Oryctolagus cuniculus: one gene and its partner. The protein of the gene in region 1 purifies or fractionates together with the protein of each later gene. This does not show direct contact. Links are inferred from orthologs where the notes say so. Each region holds a gene or a part of one and is shown in the gene's direction. Other genes may lie near its edges. The genes, in order: CDC26 and NEK2.

Region 1 (11,668 bases):
TACTGCTTTCCCAGGCCACAGCAGAGAGCTGGATTGGAAGTGGAGCAGCCAGGACTAGAACCGCACCCATGCCGGCACTTCGGGTCAGGGCGTTAACGCGCTGCGCCACAGCGCTGGTCCCTTCTTCTTCTTCTTCTTTTTTAAAGACTGATTTATTTTGGGACCAGCACTGTGGCATAGTGGGTAAAGGTGCCATCTATAGGGCTGGCCTCCCATTTGGGTAGCTGGTTCAGTCCTGGTTGCTCCACTTCTGATCCAGTTCCCTGCTAACGTGCCTGGGAAAGCAGCAGAAGATGGCCCAAGCTCTTGGGGCCCTGCAACCATGTGGGAGACCCAGAAGCAGCTCCTGGTCCCTGCTTCAGATTGGTTCAGTTCTGGCCATTGCAGCCATTCAGGGAATGACCAAGCGGATAAAAGATCTGTCTCTTTTTCTCGCTCTCTGTACCTCTGCCTTTCAAATAAATAAATAAATCTTAAAAAAAAAATTACTTATTTGAAAGTCAGAGTTACAGAGAGAGGGGAGAGACAGAGACATATTTTCCATTCCGTGCTTCATTCCCCAAATGGCACACTGGCTTGGGCTGGGCCAGATGACGCCAGGAGCCAGAGCTTCAACTGGGTCTCCCACATGCATGCAGGGGCCAAAGGACTTGGGCCATCTTCCACTGCTTTCCAAGTGCACTAGCAGAGAGCTGCACTGGAAGTGTCCATATGAGATGCTGGTGCAACAGGGCAGTGTGTTAACCCATAGCACCATAGTGCAGGCCCCAAGAGTAGAGAACATTTTTAGCAAATGAATTAACCAAGCCTTCTATCAAAAAGATATGACAAAAATGTTATTTTAGGGGCTGGCCTTGTGGAGCAGTGGGTTAAGCTGCAGTTCTAGCATTGATATGAGTCCTGCTGCTCCACTTCCAATCCAGCTCCCTGCTAATGAGCCTGGGAAAGCAACAAAAGATGGCTCAAATACTTAGGACCATGCCACCTACATGGGAGACTTAAATGGAGTTCTGGGCTCCTGGCTTCAGCCTGGCCCAGCCTGGTCATTGTGACCATTTGGAAAATAAACCAGCGTATAGAAGATCCCTCTCTCTCCCTCTTTCTCTGTAACTGTCTTTCAAATAAAGAAATAAATCTTAAAACAAACAAAAAGAAATGTTATTTTAACAACTGCCAATGCTATTCTCTAAAACAGTCCCCGACTAGGGACACTTACCAACTCTGATCAGTTACCTGGAAATAACTGTCATGAAAATGAGATTTCTGTGACTATGAGTTTTTTTGTTTTATTTAGCAACTAGTGTAAAAACCTTACAAACAGAAGCATTTGGACGAAAACAGAGGTACGGTGGTGTTTCAGAACAGGTGTTAGAAACAGCATAAAGGTTTAGAGTCACAGATGTGCACGTATGAGGAAGAGCAGCCAAGTGGGAGGACCAACGAGAAACTCCACACAAGTGGTCTCAGGAAAGGCGTCTTCACTTCATGCCCTTTTTCAATTTCTTACTACAGATGGATATAATTTTATTTGAAAAACAGAGTGGCTATGGGGCTGGCGTGGTGGCCTAGCAGGTAAAGCCGCTGCCTGCAGTGCCGCCATCCCATATGGGCACTGGTTTGAGTCCCACCTGCTCCACTTCCGATCCACCTCTCTGCTATGGCCTGGGAAATCAGCGGTAGATGGCCCAAGTCCTTGGGCCCCTGCACCCGTGTGGGAGACCCGGAAGAAGATCCTGGCTCCTGGCTTCAGATTGGTACAGCTCTGGCTGTTGCTGCCAACTGGGGAGTGAACCAGCGGATGGAAGACCTCTCTTTCTCTCTCTGCCTCTCCTTCTCTCTCTGTGTAACTCTGACTTTCAAATAATTAAATAAATCTTTAATAAAAAAAAAAAAAAGAAAGAAAAACAAAACAGGCTTGGTGCTATGAAACCTTATTGAAAAAAAAAGTGGTCTGCTTGTTACTGACAGGAAAAGATATCCTTAACAATATGTAGGGTGAAAAATGTAGGTTACAAAATAATTTATGTATCACAATTTCACTTATGGAAAAAACTATGTATTTTTCTAACTGTATCAAAATTCTCAGAAAGGTGTATACAGAAAAGCATAAAGAGGAGCCGGTGCTGTGGCACAGTGAGCCTTGGCCTGCAGCGCCGGCATCCTATTATGGGCACTAATTCGAGTCTGCGTCACTCCACTTCTGATCCAGCTCCCTGCCAATGCACCTGGGAAAGCAGCAGAGGATGACCCAAGTCCGTGGGCCCCTGCACCCACGTGGGAGACCTGGAAGAAGCTCCTGGCTCCTGGCTTTGGATCAGCTCAACTCTAGCCATTGTGGCCATTTCGGGAGTGAACCAGCAGATGGAGAATCTCTCTCTCTAGCTTTTTCAAATAAATATAATAAACTTTTTTTTTAATTTTTAAAGATATTAAAGAATACAGGACTTCTTACTCTGCACATTTATACACTGTATGATCTTTTAATCAATTCATTTTAAAAATGTTTACTTACTTATTTTCCTTTTGATTGAGAGATAGAGAGAGATATTTCTTGGGCTGGTTCACTTCCCAAATGCCTGTAACATCCAGGGCTGGGCTAGGTCCAAGCCAGGACCCTGGAACTTAATCTGGATGTCTCCCATGGGCAGTAGGAGTCCAAGCACTTTAGCCTGGACCTATGGTGTGCATCAGCAGGACGCTGGAACCTGAAGCGGAGCTGGGAGCTGAACTGGAGCATGCAAATATCCCGAGTGGCATTTTAACCCCCAGGCCAAACACCTGCTCACATCATTTCATCTTTCAAAATAACAAACTGCTACTTTTATATTTAAATAATTTTGGGGGTAAAAAATAACTGGAGAACTAAAAACAGGAGAGCATTATAAACTATTCTAGTTTCAAACCAAAGCTGGAATGATGTTAGCTCTCCAAGAGACAAATGTAACCACTTAAATCCCAAATGTGCACTGAAAAAATTTCTGGTAAAAGAACTAATAATTCATGGGAAAAACAGTATATTAAAAGCTGTAGGGCCGGTGCCGCGGCTCACTAGGCTAATCCTCCGCCTTGCGGCACCGGCACACCGGCTTCTAGTCCTGGTTGGGGCGCCGGATTCTGTCCCGGTTGCCCCTCTTCCAGGCCAGCTCTCTGCTGTGGCCAGGGAGTGCAGTGGAGGATGGCCCAAGTGCTTGGGCCCTGCACCCCATGGGAGACCAGGAGAAGCACCTGGCTCCTGCCTTCAGATCAGCGTGGTGCGCTGGCCGCAGCGGCCATTGGAGGGTGAACCAACGGCAAAGGAAGACCTTTCTCTCTGTCTCTCTCTCTCACTGTCCACTCTGGCTGTCCAAAAAAAAAAAAAAAAAAAAATTCTGTAAAAAAAAAAAAAAGGCTCCTGGATGATGCTAGGTAGTGTAAGCAAAATATGAGTCTATAGATTCAAGTTTAAAAATTGAAAACTTGTAACATAAAACTACAGCTATCTAAGCTGAGGAAGGCACGCATTACAGAAAACTGGAGGTAAAGGTAAAGATGGACTGAAATCTGTCATCTTACCGGAGGTTATATTAATATTTCCTGCTTCAATTCCTGCTTTAAGTCCTTCTTTTCCCAAAATCCCAGATTCTCCTTTGGCCAGCCGCTCCCTTTCCTTCTCTTCCAGACTTCCATAATAAATGTGTGGCTTCTTCACCACCGGAGCCACCAGGTCATCAGGCGCTTTCGTTTTGGTGGCCTGCTAGACCGAAGGCTTCGATTAATTCAAGGCTCGATCTTAGCAATCCACGAGGCTTCCCTAAAGGGTGAAGTTCATCCTGACCTCCCCCAACAAAAGGCCAAACTGGGCGCCAGGGAAGATGCGCTTCACGGACCCGCGGGTGTGGGGATGGGGGCGGGAGGGCACGTCAGCCCTTCAATCACTTCCAGTTTGACAGCTTGAAGAGGTGGATTAAACCCGGTTCTCCGGGTGGTTCTGCCTCTGGAAGACGATCACTTCATTCTGTTGGAAGTGCAAGCTCTTTTTGGGTTTCGTGATACTTCCAGGGTTACCGTTTAACACGGGGGGAAACACCAAGGGTAAGGTAAAAGAACCGGCGTGGTGCCGAGGGAGGGGTAGCCAGTGACAACGCTCCTGCTCGGTCCATCTCAAGCGTTTTGAGACCTGTGGTAGCAGAGCAGGAGCCGGGAGGCCTCATCCCAATTCCGAGGTCTCCTATAGACAGCCACCGTGGCCAAGACACTCGCCCACTCCGGAGCCCTGGTTTGGACCAGTCGGAAGTGGTGTTTGCCGTTCGGGGCTGCGGTGGGACAGGTGCATACGAGTAACAGCACATACACTCGCTCAAGGGTCCGGGGAATGCTGCTCTGCTCTGGAGGGCAGGACCGAGTCCGGCAGCCCTCCACCCTGTCAGCCCGCTCCCTAACGGACCCTTCCCCGAGGGACCCCCACCCTCTCGGCGCTCCCTGCCGCAGTGAACTGAGATCCCGAGCTCCGTACCGTGGAGGACGCTCGTGACGAAGCCATGCTGGGCTCCGCAGCAGCCAAGCCCCAGAAAAAGCCAAGCTCTCCGTTTCAGACCATCCACCGCGCGCCCAGCAAAGCGGAACTACGTCACGGACCGGAAGTGAAGTCGGGCGCCGACGCAGCGCCCTGAGCGGCGCGGAGCATCATGGGAGTCGTAGTAGTTACTATTCTGGTCGCGTGGAGGGGCATGACCCTTAGAACCTCCGAGAAAAGCTCGCGGGAGACGAGGTTCTGGAGGGGAGAGGGGCGCGAAGCACTCTGGGAAGTGTAGTCCAGTTGGGCTCGCAGTAGATTCGTGGTGGGAGCTGAGGTTCCTTCCGGGAAGGGGCTGAGCGGGCTTGGAGAGAGAGGAAGGTGAGTCAAGTCGCGCGGCCGGGCGCTGAACTCTGGAGCTTACCGAGGGCTCCTAGAGACTTTACGTCGTCCCGGGGCGGAGGCCCATGTTGCCATGGAAACCATCGCCCGGACCGCTGAGTGTGGTCCTGGGGCTGGGCGAGGAGGGTTGTCGGGGTGGGGGTGGGGAGGAAAGTCCTCCCGGGGCCGGGGGCTCCGGCCGAGCTGGCTCAGTTTGCGGTGGATTTGGGCAGCGGTGAGAGATGAAGCTCAAAGAGCCCTCTAGCGTCTAAGTGAAGTAAAGAGCGGGCGAAGCTTCGGCCCGGTTTTGCTGTTGCTTTTGTTTCGTCTTCAGCCGGGTCTTTGTGTCAGACTGAGTGAGATGATGGCTAGGAAGGCGTCGGGTAGACCGCAGCCGACTCTCCTGCATAGCCCTGTGCTCCTCTGGGTGCGGGGGCATCAGCGATGAACAAGGCATGTAGTGGGTGGGAGACTCAAAATGTTCGTGTTTGCAGAGCTGGAACACCCCCCTCCCCCATCGTTATCTCTTCCGCCCCCCGCCCCCAACAACTGCAGTCATAAGTGCCTGTTATTTATTGAGCGTTTACTGAATACCACAGTTGTGTAGCCAGGAGCTTAATCGGCATTACGCCATTCAATTCAGACAGCAACAGAGTATAGAGGCAAGGAAGGTCTGGTGCGAGACAAAGATCGGAAACTTAAAGGGATCGGAGCCAGCACTTCAGCCGGGTCTCTACCCTGCTTCCTAGTGGTGGTGGTGGGCTTTTCGTTTTCGCAGAAAAGTTAAAATGCATAGCGATCTTCTCAGTATCCCTTCCTCACCCCATTTGGAACTTCGTTTTCCTCTGCTGCTTGTCGGCATTGGAATCTGGTGGACAGTATCAGATTTAAGTCAAAGCAAATTGAAATGTAATGTTTTGTCCTGGAAGAGGGGCAACCGGGACAGAATCCGGCGCCCCGACCGGGACTAGAACCCGGTGTGCCGGTGCCGCAAGGTGGAGGATTAGCCTAGTGAGCCGCAAAAAAAAAAAAAAAAAAAAAAAAAAGTAATGTTTTGTGTTACCACTGCGTGTCTGTCTCAGGCTTCATGGGAGGAGGAGGAAATGTTTCTTCTTTTATGCACTTCTCAGTCCCCGGTTTCATCCTGGGTACAGCCAGTGGCGTTCATTTACATCAGTCTCATTTAATCCTCACCCCACGGTCCTATGTGTGACTCCTACAGGAGGCCAGACTGGACAGCTTGCTTTGACTTCTTTCTCTGTAAAATAGGACGATCTTGCCAGCCTCACAGGGTTTTCGTATTAAAATAAGCAAGTGAAGAATGGTGATGGAAAAATTAGCCCAGTGCTCACTCAAGTTCATTTTACTTTAGTTGTTTCCTATATTCAGGGAACGTTTACTGACTGCCTAATGTACATACACAGACTCTGTTGGGTGCCATGAAGGTGCCCCTCAACAGATACTAAACGTGATGGGGAGTTCTGTTTGCTCAAAGAAAGGGTTTTTGTTAAAAGTATTGTCTTGACTCAGACTGTTCTCTTGAGCTTCTTTGTGCACTTGTTCTCTCTGCCTGCTCTTTAGATGTCGACTAAGACTCCATTTAGACATCATTTCCTGCCATAGGCCGTGTTTAACATCCCTGGCCACCACCCCACACCTAGTCCAGCTTTCGGGCCAGCATGGCTGCCATTGTATTCTCATCAGTGTTCTTGCTCCCCTCGCTGTTAATTTTCCCCTCACGTGTCTGTTTCTCCCACAGGTTGTGTCTGTACCTTTTAATTTTGTAGCCGGAGCACAAGAAGTCTTTGCTAATGAATGATCTGTCTGGTTGATTGAGACACTGAAGAGAATCTTGTGAATTGGTGAGTTCAGTTTTGCCTAGAATTTTCTTATAGGCAGCTTGCTGGTGTTCAGTTTTTTCAGAAAGAGGTTTTTGAATCACCGCGTTGTGGATCTCCATCATGAAATACAAATGTAAGAAGCATACACCTAAAGCCTTAAGAAATCTATGTGTGGGGCTGGCATTGTGGCACGGAAGGTAAACCACATCTTGCAATATGGCATCCCATATCAGAGTCTTGGCTGCTCTGCTTCCAGTCCAGCTCCCTTCTAATGTGCCTGGGAAAGCACCAGATAATGGCCGGTGTGTGTGAACCCCTGCCACCCACTTGGGAAACAACAATGGAACTCCTGACTCCTGGCTTTGGCCCGGCTCATCCAGAGACACTGTGGCCATGGGAGTAGTGAACTATGGTGGATGAGAGATCTCTGTCTCTCTGTGCCTCTCCATCTCTTTGTCACTCTGCCTTTCAAAAAAAGAAAGAGATCTATGTGTGAATCCAAGTTTGATTTTGCTATTGCCTTCACTTTAGTGTACATGTGTAGAAATTGGCCTTATGTATGTAACTGCAACGTATCACCTCCAGTTTTTCTCTGTGTCATTTTTAATAGCTCATAGTTGATTGGATCTGCTCTCAGTGTAGATTTCAGTATGCTGCGACGGAAACCCACGCGCTTGGAGCTCAAGCTTGATGACATTGAAGAGTTTGAGAGCATTCGAAAGGACCTAGAGGTAAGAGTGCAACTTTCAAACCCTTAGGAATAGCTAAAACAATAACTTGTGAACTCCAGACTCTTACACCAATAGCTCTATTTGTCTCCTTTGCAGGCATCTCAGACTTTTACTGTTAGATCCTGTGGCTGCTCTAACAAAGTACCACAAACTCAGTGACTCAAGACAACAGAAATTTATTCTTACATGACTCCTTAGGCCAGAAATGGGAAATCTGTTCAGCTGGGCAGAAATCAGGGTGTCAGCAGGGCCACATTCTTCCAGAGGCACTTGTGAGAATCCCTTCCTTGGCCCTGCTGGCTTCCGGGCGGCCACCGTCCTCACTCCAGTTGTGTCTCCATGGCCACGTTGTCTCCCCTGTCCTGTCTGCGATACCTCCCTCGGCCTCCCTCTTACAAGGATATGTGTGATTACATTCAGGGCCCACTTGGCTCATCCAGGATAATGTACCCATCTGAAGATCTTTAATTTATCACCACTGCAAAGGCCTTTTTCCTATATAAGGTGACATTTACAGGTTCCAGGAATTAGGACCTGATAGCTTTGGAGGCTGTATTTAGCCTATAAGCCATACATATTGGAAAAGAAAAAGAACTTGATTTTCCCTCTCAAACCTGGTGTACCCCCTTGACCCTCCCAGTGCTCCCCATTTCAGTAGCGATTCCATTGCTCAGGCCAGAAACCTGGCAGCGATTCTGCAGTCTGTTCCCCTCATACTTTATATATATATATATATATATATATATGCACATACATACACACATATATATATATATAAAATTTTATTTATTTATTTGAGAGGTAGAGTTACAGACAGTGAGAGGAGAGATGGAGTGAGGTCTTCCTTCCATTGGTTCACTCCCCAGATGGCTGCAACGGCCAGAGCTGTGCCAATCCGAAGGAGCCAGGTGCTTCTTCTAGGTCTCCCATGTGGGTGCAGGGGCCCAAGCACCTGGGCCATCCTCCACTCCTTTCCCAGGCCACAGCAGAGAGCTGGATAGGAAGAGAGGCAGCTGGAACTTGAACCGGCACCCATATGGGATGCCGGCGCCGCAGGTGGAGGATTAACCTACTGGCCATGGCGCTGGTCCCACACTTTATATTTAATCTACCCATAAATCTTTAATTCTACCTCCAGAATATATCTAGATTTATGCATTCCTTTTCATATGCAGTGTTAACAGTACTACTCCAAGCAACTATCTCTCTATATACAATTATGTACACACACACATAGGTATTTATTTGAGAGCCAGACACACACACACACACACACACACACAGGGCAAGTGCACTCCCATCTACTGGGTCATTACCCAGATGTCTGCAACAGCTGGGACTGGGCTGGGGCCGAAGCGGGGAGGGGACCTGGGAACATAATCCAGGTCTCCCATGCGGATGGCAGGAACTCCAGTTAGTCAGGCCATCACTGCTGCTTCCCAGGTCTCCGTCCTCAGGAAGTTGGGAGTGAGGAGTTGGAGTCAGGAATGGAACCCAGGTCTGGTACGTGGGTTGCATTCCCAGCTCTTTCCATGTGAAACATGGGTGTCTTTTTAATTTTTTTAAGATTTACATATTTATTTATTTGAGGGAGAGAGAGTTACAGAGAGGGAGAAACAGAGAGAAAGGTCGTCCATCCACTGGTTCACTCCCCAAATGGCCGCAATGGCCAGAGCTGACCCGATCAGGAGCCAGGAGCTTCTTCCAGGTCTCCCATGTGGGTGCAGGGGCCCAAGTGCTTGGGCCATCTGCTGGTCCCCAGGCCATAGCAGAGAGCTAGACCAGAAGAGCAGCAGGTGGGACTTGAACCGGCTTCCATATGGGATACCGGCGCTGCAGGCAGTGGCTATACCCTCTATGCCACAGCGCCAGCCCCTAAACATGGTGTCTTAACTTAGTCCAACTGCTTGCTTCTCTGTGTAATTGCGGCAGCATCATAAATGGTCTTTCTGCTTCCATTTTTGTCTCTTCAACCCATTTTCCTTCAAGTACGTAGAATGAGCTTTTTAAAATTTATTTATTTATTTATTTTTGACAGGCAGAGTGGACAGTAAGAGAGAGAGACAGAGAGAAAGGTCTTCCTTTTCCGTTGGTTCACCCCCCAATGGCTGCTGCGGCTGGCATACCACGCCGACCGAAGCCAGGAGCCAGGTGCTTCCTCCCGGTCTCCCATGCGGGTGCAGGGCCCAAGCACTTGGGCCATCCTCCACTGCACTCCCTGGCCACAGCAGAGCGCTGGACTGGAAGAGGAGCAACCGGGACAGAATCCGGCGCCCCGACCGGGAATAGAACCCAGTGTGCCGGCGCCGCAGGTGGAGGACCAGCCCAGTGAGCTGCGGCACCGGCTGTAGAATGAGCTTTAAAAAATTTCAGGACATGTCATGCCACTGTTTAAAACTTCTTAGGGATGGCCGGCGCCGCGGCTCACTAGGCTAATCCTCCACCTAGCGGCGCCGGCACACCGGGTTCTAGTCCCGGTCGGGGCGCCGGATTCTGTCCCGGTTGCTCCTCTTCCAGGCCAGCTCTCTGCTGTGGCCAGGGAGTGCAGTGGAGAATGGCCCAAGTGCTTGGGCCCTGCACCCCATGGGGGACCAGGAGAAGCACCTGGCTCTTGCCTTCGGATCAGCGCGGTGCGCCAGCCGCAGCAGCCACTGGGGGGTGAACCAACAGCAAAGGAAGACCTTTCTCTCTGTCTCTCTCTCTCCCTGTCTGCTCTGCCTGTCAAAAAACAAAACAAAACAAAACAAAACAAAAAACTTCTCAGGGGGTGGGGGGCAGGCGCTGTGGCGTAGTAGGTTAAGCATCTATCTGTAGCGCCGGCATCCCATATGGGCTGAGGTTTGAGTCTCGGCTGCTCCACTTCCAGTCCAGACCTGGGAAAGCAGCAGAGGATGACCCAAGTCCTTGGGCCTCTGTACCCACGTGGGCGACCCAGAAGAAGCTCCTGGCTCTTGGCTTCAGATCAACGCAGCTCTGGCCATTTGGGGAGTGAACCGGCAGATGAAAGATCTCTCTCTCCCTCTCTCCGTCTGTAACTATGCCTCTCCAGCACATAAATAAATCTTTGTAAAACAGACGAACAAACACACAAACTTCTCAGTGGTTCCCTGTACTTAGAATAAAAGAGGATTCTTCACCAGGGCCTGTAAGGTTTCCTCTGTTCTAGTCCCTCTCTGGTTTCCACTTCGCACTTGTTTGCCTTGCCCTCTTTACCCTCACACGGTAGCCTTCTTTGATTTCCTGGAACGTGTGGAAGTACTGCTGCCATGGCCTTGGCTCAAACTTCCCTCTGCCTGGAGTGCTGTCAGTTTCTTCCAGTCTTAGGTGAGGTGTCACCTCCTCAGCCCCAGAGGCCTCTTTGTTACCTGAGTTAGCAGTTTCATTCCTGTCCGTGCTGCCTGCACCTCATTAGGCTCTCATAAAGCTTATTTTATTTTTTTTAGAAAGCTTTTATTTAATAAATATAAATTTCATAGGTACAGCTTTTGGAATATAGCAGTTCTTTCCCCCATACCTACCCTCCCACCTCCAAACTGTTCCACCTCCTACTCCCTCGCCCATCCCGTTCTTCATTAAGATTCATTTTTAATTATCATAAAGCATATTTTAAAGCATGTATTGTAATTTACAGTGTTACTTGTTTGCTTATTGTAAAAATAATTTACATTAGGAACCATGACTGCAGAAATTATGTCTGCTTCACCGTTGAGTTCTCAGTAGCAGGTAGGAGCTCAACATCCATTTTTTTAAAGAAAGATTTATTTATTTATTTGAAAGGCAGTTACAGAAAGAGAGAGGGAGAGATAGGGAAAGAGATCTTCCATCTGCTAGTTCACTCCTCAAATGGCTGCAACAGCCAGAGCTGGGCTGATTTGAAGCCAGGAGCCAGGAGTTTGTTCTGGGTCTCCCACATGGGTGCAGAGGCCCAAGTACTTGGGCCATCCTCTGCTTTCCCAGGCTATTAGCAGGGAGCTGGATCAGAACTGGAGCAGTGGGACTTGAACTGGCACCCATATGGCATGCCAGTGTCACGGGCAGTGGCTACACCGTTACGCCACAACGCCAGCCCCTCAGTATCCATTTTTAAAGATGTAACATTGGTATAGAGTATGGCACACAGTACTAGATATCTGTTGATAAGACTTAGGTCCTTCAGTGGCCTTCAGAATAAAGTCCAAACCGTTGAGCATAGCATGTGAGGCGCTTTGTGACCTGGTCCATGC
Region 2 (10,569 bases), on another chromosome or scaffold:
AAGCGGATTTCGTGGAGAAACTTTGAACGTGGGATGGAGGAAGGAGGCTGAGGTGAGGGGGAGGGAAAGTGCCCCAGGGTCGCAGAGGACACAGGCGGAGTGGGGGGGGGAGGAGGCTGGTGAACGGGCGTCCTGTGCCCTTTCGCCCGGAGATGCCAGGACAGTGCTTGCCCCAGGGCTACCAAGCACCAGCACGAGGTGTGCCGTGGTACTTCGAAGGGGGAAGGGATGGGTTGCAGCTGCGTGACCCCATGGACCCGGAAGCTCATGGGTGAAAACCGGCAGTGAGCTTGTCTTTGAGCTAAGAGCTGTCCAGAGAGGAGCGCTTTCTTCTGCTTCGGCGGCGCGTGCCCTTGTCGTGTCAGGCTCCCTTGGGGTAGCTGTCTCGCCGGGCCCTCTGACTGCAGCCTCAGTACTGTGCCCCCAGGACTACCAGCGGCCCTCTGTGGAAGAGATCCTGCAGGACGCTTTGATAGCGGACTTGGTTGCCGAAGAGCAAGGACGAGCTCTTGAGAGAAGAGGGCGGCGACCAGGAGAGCCGGAAAAGTCGCAGGAGTCCAGCCCGGGGCTCAGCGCCGGCCCCGGGCTCAGCGAGCTGAGGCTGAAAGAGCTACAGTTGCAGGAGCGAGAGCGGGCCCTCCAGGCCAGAGAGGACCGACTGGAGCGTAAGTCTAAGTCGGGAAGGCGGCGGGGGTCCGGGGCGGGGAGCCCGCACGAGGACGCTGGATATGCGTGGATATTTCCGTGAACGGAACATGCGTGGGGCTTCTCTAGAACCTTCCTGTGTGTTCCAGACTAGATCATCAGACTCGCAGGCGCTTTCGCCTTAGATAGCTTTCTCTCAAATCGGCTGCCAGACACATTTTGTTTTACTGTAGAGTTGATTTTTTTCTTATCTTTAAGATAAATACCCTAAAGTTTTTTGTTTTGTTTTGTTTTTGTTTGTTTGTTTTTTAAGATTTTAAAAATCTATTTGTAAGGCAGAGTGACAGGGAAAGAGGGATCTTGCACTTGCTGGTTAACTCATGCCCAAACGGCTGCAACAGCTAGGACTGGGCCAGGCCAAAGTGAGGAGCCGGGAACTCCATCCTGATCTCCCACCTAGGTGGCCGGGGCCCGTGTACTTGGGCCATCACGGGCTGCCTTTCGGGTGCATTAGCAGGAAGTTGGATCAGAAGCAGAGCAGCCAGGACTTGAACTGGGCTCCAGTACGGAGTGCCGTAGTCGCAGGCAGCAGCTTAACCTGCTGTGCCACAGCGCCGTCCCTGTGAAGTTCTTCCATGGTGAAAGAAGACCTTGGGGCAAGCCTTTGACACAGCAGTTAAACTGCCTCTCGGGACTCCCGCCTCCCGTGTCGAGTGTCTGGGTCGAGTCCCGGCTGCGCTCTGCAGTCCAGCTTCCCAGTAATGCACACTTTGGGAGGCAGCAGGTAAGAGCTCACGTTGCATCCCAGCCACCCACGTGAGAGACCCAGATGGAGCTTCTGGCTCCTGGCTTTGGCCTGGCCCAGCCCTGGCTGTTGGTGGCCACTGGGAGAGTGAACCAGCAAATGAGCACTCTGTCTCTTGTCTCTGCATTTCCAATAAAAGATCATAAGTAAAAAGGTTTTCAAAGTTGCTGCCTTCCATAATAAAAACCATGACTTCTACCTTGTGCAGGGTCTACGCCAACACAGTTCCGGGTCTGAAGTCCTGGGAGTGCCTAGGAGTGAGCTACCCTGAGGCAGTTGGGCATATGGGTGTGAGATCGCCTAGGTTAATAAATAATACCTGCTGGGTGTTGGCGCTGGCTCCATGAGTGCTGACTGATACGGTGCCAGTTAGTCTGTGATGCTGCAAGTCTGTCTGCGCCACCCAGAGCTGCCAGTGCGATTTTAGGGCCATGCGAGGCAGCGGCAGCAGTGGAAGTCTTCCCGTGAACACAGGAGACGAGGGCTGGGGCTGTGGCCGCCTCCTGCTGCCCCCTGGCTCACTGACTCTGCCGCTGCAGCTTTAGGCACCATGCAGGCTCTAAGCTCTTTAATGCTTAAATGCTCTCGTAACGCACACGGTGCGTTTGTTAACATTTTCCTCCCTGACGCTAACGGCAAAGTGCCGTCGAGGAACGGGAGCTGGGCTAAATCCAACCTTTGCTCACCGAGAGACTTTGTTGACTCCTCCAACCAAAGAATTCTGCAAAAAATGAAAATAAAAACACAGGCATCATCTGAAAATTGGCCCCCGTGTCCGGTAACCTCCCGCGGCAGCTGAAGCGCGAACACTGAATTTTGGGCCGGGAGTGGAGTTGCCATCGTTTCTGTTTAGAGCTGCTTGCTGCTGCCTTCCCTTCCACTCGGTGCCGTGCACCAGCCAGCAGAGGGAGAGTCCGTCCCCACTGTCCCCACCGTCCTGTCGCCGCCCCGGCCAGGAACTGTCGCTTGTTTTCAGTCACAAGCAGACATGGTTTTTGTGTTTACCCTCTCAGTCAGCTCCCACACAGCCTGACCCAGGGTTGGAGCTAACGTCGTTGGGCTTAAACAAGTCCTTGCAAGAAAACCCAAGCTGACCTACAACGAATCAGAACAGAGGCTCTAGCATACTCGGGTTGAGCAGGGACTCTGCTAAGAAATCGCTCTCAAAGCATTGCTACTCAGGGCCCAGGCACCTAGAGGTAGTGATTAGAAAGAGCAGTAAAACAACCAAATGTGAATTGTCGTGTTTTTTTTTTTTTTCCATGCCCCTTTTATAGAGAAGGAACGTGAGCTCTGTGTCCGTGAGAGGCTAGCAGAGGACAAACTGGCTCGAGCAGAAAGCCTGGTGAAGAACTACAGCTGGCTGAAGGACCGCAGGCTCCTGTCTCTGGGGAGCAATCCAGGTATGAGAACCGACTCCCTAACCCGGAGCTGGTGCTACCAATGAAGACGTGTGCCGGTGGCACCCGAGGTGGCTTTGCTAACCCTCCTAATGTACAGAGTCCCAAGTACATTCAAGGTGGATTTCCTTGAATTGATGCATATCCATGGAAATAAAATTCTATTATGGTGATGATTTATTGACTGGGTTCATTGACCTGAGGCAATGAATCGTAGGACTTCCTCTTAGGTTGAATTCACATGATCAGACCCCGTGGTTAGTGTTTGACATTTATTTTTAAAATTTGAGCACGTTTAAAAACTGCATTTCAGAGTTTTGCTCTGGTGTATTTTCAAAACTCTACGTCTCTCTATATTTTCAAGTGAAAATCCTGGCGTTTTAACACTGGCACACCTCGTGCTTTATAGAAAGGGTGGCCTAAAAGGCACGTTCCCTGCCAGTTGGGTGTTTTTATACTATTTATTGCAGCTTTCCTGGACTCCACACTGCCCTCTGACGCCAGACTAGACTGACTCGTGGTTAGGAGGGTAAAACACAGAGGGAATCACACCTGCGGGAGCCTCCGCGTGGGAGCGGCTGCAGGCCCTCAGCCGGGGTTGCTTACATCCTGCCCGCATAGGAGTTGACCAGAGGGTGAAAATAGCTCGATAAGGATGGGGGTTCACCCTATAGGACACAGGGGTAGGTGTGGGATCCACTGTGTGTGAATCACGGCCAGTACTTAAAATGAGCTGTGGGAGCTGTGACTCCGCTGGGCTGGGAGGCACCGAAGGCGCTGAGCCGCTCAGAACATGAGATGCACACCGGGGCCGTGAGGAGTGGGCGATCCTGTGACCTCAGGACAGCAGGAAACACCCTCACCCCACCCTCGGCCTACAGGATCCAGACGAGCGGAAGACATCACGAGTCTGTCCAGTTCAACACCATGAGCCTCGGCAGCTTTTCTTAAAAATCATTCTTTGTCCATTTAGCGGAATACCCATTCTTCTATTTTTTTTAAAAAAAGATTTATTTATTTGTTTGACAGGCTGAGTTACAGAGAGAGAAGAGAGACAGGAAAAGAGATACCTTCCATCCACTGGTTCACTCCCCAAATGGCTGCAATGGCCAGGGCTGGGCCAACCAGGAGCCAGGAGCTTCCTCCCTGTCTCCCACGTGGATGCAGGGGCCCAAACACTTGGGCCGTCTTATACTGCTTTCCTAGGCCATTAGCAAGGGGCTGGGTGGGAAGTGGAGCAGCCGGGGCTTGAACTGGTGCCCATATGGGATGCCGGACTGCAGGTGGCAGCTTAACCCACCGCACCACAACGACACCACGACAGCCCTTGTGAAACAGGAATTCTTTTTCTAAACACTTGGAGCACTCCCGCACCCGAAGTGGGTGCAACCGGCCCGAAGCACTCCTCAGCCCAATGGCCCGATGGCCCGTGCCTCTGACCGCCTCACTTTGATCAGATCTTCCCCCAGAAGTCTCAGTAGGAGGCTTTTTCTGTCACCACAGCCACCGCCCAGTTCGTCTGTCCCACTGCACGTGACGCTGTCACTCACTCCCCCTCTGCACTTGTTCATTTGTTTATGGGCGGCCTCCTCCCGCTAGGATTGGGTCTTTGTTTGGCTCCCAATGCCCCATGCTGTGAGTTCAGTAAATACCTGAACACATTTCCTCTAAGGGCACACAGAGGAGCAATAACAAGGTTCTGGATTCTGAACCTGCACGCCCCCAGCCCCCGACCTGGTCTGTCCGTCTTCTGGGAGCAGTGTCCCGAGTCCGCATGCATGGGATTGGTCTGGGTCGCATACAAAGCTCAGGCCTCCTTTTCCACTGCTCTGCTCCTGGATTTTCCTTTCTCACGCTGAATTGGCTTAGGCTCTTTTTGAAATAAGTTTCTGGTGGATTAAACTGCTTTGAGCTGAGGGTTCTTGAACACTTAAATCTGTAAAAAAGGAGCTTCTGCGGCTATGCCTTTCTGAGTGTGACGTCTTGCATAGAATGGCCGTTGTTTTTAAGAATAGCAATAAATCACACTGGCTTCCAGAAGTCTGATGTTGTGGCCATGGCCCCTGCGCCTTGCCGCCTTGCCGGTGAGAGAGTAGACACATGTTCCTTGATGTGGACACACTCCAGGGTTGGTTTTCAGTGCGGTGGATTCCTGCCGGCCCAGAGACCGCGGACCTCCAGCTGCACCCCGGGAGTGGCCGTCCTGTGCTAAGTGTGGTGAGTACGCAGGAGTGGAGCTCCCATTCAAGTAACTCACAACCCTTTTCTTTTCTTTTTCCTTTTCTTTCTAAAGAGCTTCTCGATCTTCCATCCTCAGTAATTAAGAAGAAGGTTCATTTCAGTGGGGAAAGCAAAGAGAACATCGGGAGGAGTGAGGACCCCGAGAGCCATCTCACCTCCAAAGCCAAGTGCAAGGACTTGAAGAGGAGGCTGCACGCTGCCCAGCTGCGGGCTCAGGCCCTGTCGGATATTGAGAAAAACTACCAGCTCAAGAGCAGACAGATCCTGGGCATGCGCTAGGCCGTGCGCGCCAGCCCCTTAACCATGGACATCCAGCTGCTGCCGCTTGCTGTGCTTGGGCCACGAGCCGTGGCTTTGCGTGTCGTGAGCCTGATGCTTCAGAGTCGCCGTGCTATTCTACAGCAGCCGCTGTACGAGCGCCTGGGCTGTGTCTTCCTTCCTTCCAAACCTGGCGTCTAATCCTGTGCGTGCCGTGACTACTGCTTAGGAGCGTGAGCTGTAGCGTTCTAGATCTCAGGGGAAAACACACGCACGCAGGAGTGGCACGTCCTGGGCATCTTGAATGTCTGCGGGCTGCGCTGAACAGTTGCCGTGTGTAGTTTTAAGGGTGAGACTTTGGATGTCCTTGAACTTAGAGAGCTGAATTGAATGTAATTCAGTCACTGTACCAGCGCATCCTGCTCCCGACTGTGCCAGTGCAGTGCGAGCCGTTACCTTTGTGAGCTCGTGGCTGGGATGACTGCTCTTTTGGTCCCTTTTGTTCTCTGCTGTTCACCCCCACCGTTGGCCACTAAATAAAAGAGTCCTTCCGTTTTGCTTCTGTCTCCTGGATTCTGTGATCTCAGTAGGATAGAGGGAAGCGTGTTTGTAACTTAGGGGCCTTGTAGAGTAGGGAAGAGAACGCGACTCTGATGTCAAGAGGCCACTCTGCTCTTCCGTGGGCGTGGCTCCCCACGAGCCGCCTCCCTGGGGCACGGAGGCCAGGGGTCCTGAACCGCATGATTTGCTCCTGCGGGTGTTTGGCCTGGAGACCCTGCTGATGGTCATCACTGGGGACGTTGCTGCTGGTGCGGGGGGCAGAGAGTGGGCGTGTCGCGCAGCCCCTGCAGTGCACAGGGCAGCCAGCCCCGACGACGGCTTCCACAACGGCCCCTGCAGGGACCCAGCCTGAGCCGGAACCTGCTGGGGCACACCCCCCCACCCCCTGGGAGCAAACTCAGTTTGGACGTTGGTGAGTGTTTTAAAAATACGTCTGCCTTTTAGTGTGCGTTAGCAGTCCTTGTGGTCCATCGCGTTTTCCATGTGGTGTTTTGTGGGCAGTGTTAATCCTTTTGTACAATAAGACCAAATTGTGAAAGCTCAAGAAGGAAGAGGAAATAGCTCCTTTATGTGTTACACAATTGGTAATGTAATCCCACCAAAGGCAAGTGATGACGTTATCCAAACCATCAGAAACTGACGGTGCCTTTATGGTGTATGCCTAGGGGACCATTTTGACATGACTGTTGAGTGTGACTTCCAGCCTGCTCTATAGCTTGCAAAGCGCAGGCCTACGGAAACCGTGTGACCCGTCACAAAGCAGCAGCCGACTCCCATCCAATCCTTAGAGAGTTCGACCCTTTCTTCTAAGCTGTCTCTGCTCAATGTGCGCTGCCTTACTATTTGCTATTCTAAGTAAAGAAGACATTGTTAATGAGCACCAATACTAGTCCTCTTTATTTAGCACAAAGCCAGCATCCAGTGCAAAAAGCAGAGCACTTAGCTCACGTGTGGCACCACGGAAACGACCCCATTCCTATTTTGCGGCGCTGGCCCTGAGGGAGCCCTATGAAGCTGGACCTTTAGAGGCATCAGAGACCCATGGTTCCGACATTAGCTTCATCCTCCCAGCCCCACTCCAGTCACCAGACCTGTGCAACGTCGGCTCTTTGGAAGCTGAGGCAGACTTCTTCCTGTTCCGTAGGCCACTGCCCCAACCCCTGGCAGGGAGACCACCCCAAGGACCTTGGTGCCTCCAAACGGGAACCTTCTTTGTACCTGGATCAGCGTGCCAGGATGGCCCTCGTCAAGACATGGGCTCCACTGGCTCCACTGGCCATGGGGGGAGGAGAGATGGATGGGGGCAGCTGGTGCTCTGCCCTGTCTTGAGATGCTTTGGGGCCGTCAGCCTTCTCCTGCCGGTGTGCAGGGCCCTGCTGGGAGAGCGGTCAGGAAGCATGGCAGAAAGGGGAGGGGGCGGGGCCCAGGGCGCCAGGGGCAGGAGAGTCTGGGAGGTGGCAGGAGATGGGACCATGAGACAGCTGAGACTGAGTCCATTCCCCACTGCCACCCATCTCCCCCTCCTCCCCACCCCATGCTCCATCGTCCGTCAGATTTTTCCTACAAAAGATAATTCAAAGATACAACTATTATGAATTTCAAGGCTGCAACCACAGACAACCAGACACCAAGTGCTGGGCCTGCTGCCTGGTCAGTTACCTGTGAAACCTGCCTTTGGAAAATTCCTCTCCTATCATAATGTTTTTCCCTTTCATTTTGAAACCTGTAGCATGCGAGGTGGTTGGACACCTTCCCAGCCCAGATCCCACCTTTATTTCATTCATTCCAGCAGTCACTCAACAGTTACTGAGCACCTGCTGTGAGCCAGGCACTAGGAAAGTGCTGAAGATCAGCCACAGAGACACTGGAGTCCTCACCCTTACTGTTATGCATCCCAGTGGGCCAGGGCATTAGACACTCAGCCCCACGTGGGGCAGGCTAGGGGTCGCACAAGGAGGGGAATAAAGCAGGAAGGAACCGCAGGGGCTGAGGGCGTGTCGCGGTGTTAGAATTAGCAGCATGTCAGGAAGAGGAGAAGCTAAGGAGAGGCTGGGGTGGACCAGGAAAGGAAAGGGGGGGGGGAGGGGTTGAGTTGGGTGGGGGAGCTGTGGAGGAGGGATGGAGGGAAGGGAAGACCGCAGGGACCAGGGTGGGGGGATTGGGCAGAAGTTTGGCAACCGAGCGGAGACTTTTTACGATCGGTTATGCATCCTCTCTTCTCACTCTTACAGCCAGCAAAACTTGGCTTCCCTGCTAGGGCCGAGAACCCCCGAGGTATTTGAGCAACCATGGTAGATAGAAGGGGGGGGGGGCTTTTGGATGAACATTTGTGTTCTCCCAAATGCTAATGAAACACCTAACACTTAGAGAGTTTATGTGTTTGCCCTATGACTACAGCCAAACTCAGCGTGCACCTGGTTAAAAAAAAAAAAAAAGTCACTGGATTTGCGAAAGAACAGGCAGCAGCTGTTCTGATAGACACCACAAGGTGGCGCTATGGTCTGAGAGACCAGCAGCCCCAGCGCTTGGCAGTGACGGGTTTTACCGCAACCCCTGGTTACATCTGCCTGGTATCTGGTTCAGTTCTCAAAGCACCCCTTTGAGATAGATATCATTAGTGTCAACGTTTCACACAGGGTACAGCTAGTTTCTTTACTTTTTTTTTTTTTTCAGAGGCAGAGAGAGAGAGATTCCATTGTCTGATTCACTCCCCAAATACCCATGATGGCTGGGACCACCTGGGTTAAAATTGGGAGCCAGGAACTCCATCTAGGTCCTCCACGTGGGTGGCAGGGGTCCCAACTGAATGAGGCATCACCTGCTGCCCCCCAGGGTGCAGGGCAGTAAGAATCTGGGATCGGGAGCAGAGATAGCCATCCAGGATCCAGGACTCTGGAGTGGGTCCAGCAGGGTCTTAACCACTGGGCCAAACGCCCGCCCACCGCTGGGTTCTGAACCCACCTTTTTGACTCCAAAGCTCGTGCGTTGTTGGTAGCCCACTGCTGCCCAGGTGCACCCTCCCCTCCAGACCAGGTGCCTCCCTTTAGGCGAGAGAGTGCCCTCAAAGACTCACGCATGGGCTGCCCGCTGAGCATGGGTGAATGGGTGAACAGAATTGGGTGAATGGAAGCAGTGACATGGGGCAGCTGTTCCATGAAGAACGACAGGGGCCAGGTGTGTGGCGCAGCAACTGAGTCTCCTCTCGGGACACCCGCATGCCTCGCTGGAGAGCCTGCTACTCCGCTTCCGATCCGGCTTCCTGCCGACGCTAACCCCGATGATGGCCCAAGTTCTGGGGCTCCTGCCACCCCCCTGGGAGACCTGGGTGGAGTTCCTGGTTCCCGGCTTTGGCCTGGCCCAGCCGCTGCTGTTGCAGGCATTTGGGGAGTGAGCCAGTGGATGGAAGATTCTCTCTCTGTCTCTCTGATGTCTCTCTTTTTACCTTCCGAATAAAATAAAAATAAATGAACTTGAAATTAACAAAAAACAATAAAGAGAATCGAGGCTGTACCAGTGAGGAAGGGGTCAGCCTTGGTGGCTGGGAAGGTAGGGTGTCACAAGGAGAATGAAGTCAGCCCTCCCAGGGGGACTTGTGCAGATGGCCGCAGATGTGCCCCTCCCCCACCTCGTCCTCCACAGCCTCACCCCAACCTCACCTCGGGGAGCCCCAGAGCCTCCTAACTCAACCCTGGACTCAACATCGACCGAGGGGCGGCCAGGAAAGCTTGGGGCCTGCGCATCTGACACCACAGCCTTAGCCACCACCCGGGCCTCCCCAGGCCAAGGCTGAGCATCCTGGCTCCCCACGCCACCTGCCCTGGGGCCCCGAGACAGCTCCGGGCCCTCTCCCTGCAGCCGGGTGCTGAGCAACAGCAGGAAATGGGCGCAGAGGCTGCTGCTCACGCCATTCAAAATCCCTGTCCTTTCCTGAAATTTCAAGGTGGAGACATCGTTGTAAAAAATTCTAGGTGTGGAAATCGGCAGGGTAAAACTTCCAAAGTGAACTGTCTGTCGGCATGAGCCCGCTCTCGGGACCTCTGTGCAGAGAGCACTGTCAGGGCTTCTATGTGGGGTGTTTCTGGAGGGCAGGGGTGTCCGGGTGGAGGTTTGTGGGTCTGCATCCGTGCGTTTAACACGCACTCCCGGTTTTGTGCTGTGTTTTCACTGTTCTGGGGGCACAGAACTCTTGTGCGCATGTGAGCCACGGAATACAGAAGTGTGTATGAGCTACAAGCAAGAATGTTGTCTTGTTAATCTCACACGGGTGTCCACTGCTCTTACATTTGTACTGAAAACTGGCACTGCAAAATATAAAGACAGATGGTCAAAATTGTGTTCATAATTTAAAACATTTAGTTTTATTTACCTACAGTTACACAGCAAATAAAAGTATCCTGACAATTCCAAAGAGAAAGAAAAAAACACACACACTCACAAATGAGAAAGTGAAACATGTCCTGCTCTTTGATTTGCTTTTTAATTTTTTAAAAAAGATGTATTTATTGGGGCTGGCATTGTGGTGCAGTGGCTTAAGCTGCTGCCTGCGATGCCGGCATCCCTTGGAAGGGCTGGTTCAAGCCCCGGCTGCTCCACTTCCGATCCAGCTCCCTGCTAATGCACGGGGAAGCAGCAGGGGATGGCCCAGGTGCTCAGGCCCCT

Evidence for each region.
Region 2: the proteins of CDC26 (region 1) and NEK2 purify together in Homo sapiens (affinity purification with mass spectrometry; 3 studies listed by BioGRID and IntAct, with this or other methods). This does not show direct contact. The link is inferred for Oryctolagus cuniculus from reciprocal best matches to the Homo sapiens genes CDC26 and NEK2.

Annotation. Positions count from the first base shown.
Region 1 is NC_091432.1:216,873,898-216,885,565, reverse strand, and holds the start of CDC26 (anaphase-promoting complex subunit CDC26), read left to right. Parts: upstream 1-4,639; 5' UTR 4,640-4,873; exon of another isoform or gene 4,874-5,326; intron 5,327-6,632; 5' UTR 6,633-6,735; intron 6,736-7,324; 5' UTR 7,325-7,364; coding exon 7,365-7,445; intron 7,446-11,668. UniProt on the Homo sapiens protein: Component of the anaphase promoting complex/cyclosome (APC/C), a cell cycle-regulated E3 ubiquitin ligase that controls progression through mitosis and the G1 phase of the cell cycle.
Region 2 is NC_091444.1:26,237,650-26,248,218, reverse strand, and holds the end of NEK2 (serine/threonine-protein kinase Nek2), read left to right. Parts: intron 1-427; coding exon 428-665; intron 666-2,727; coding exon 2,728-2,853; intron 2,854-5,143; coding exon 5,144-5,370; 3' UTR 5,371-5,907; downstream 5,908-10,569. UniProt on the Homo sapiens protein: Protein kinase which is involved in the control of centrosome separation and bipolar spindle formation in mitotic cells and chromatin condensation in meiotic cells.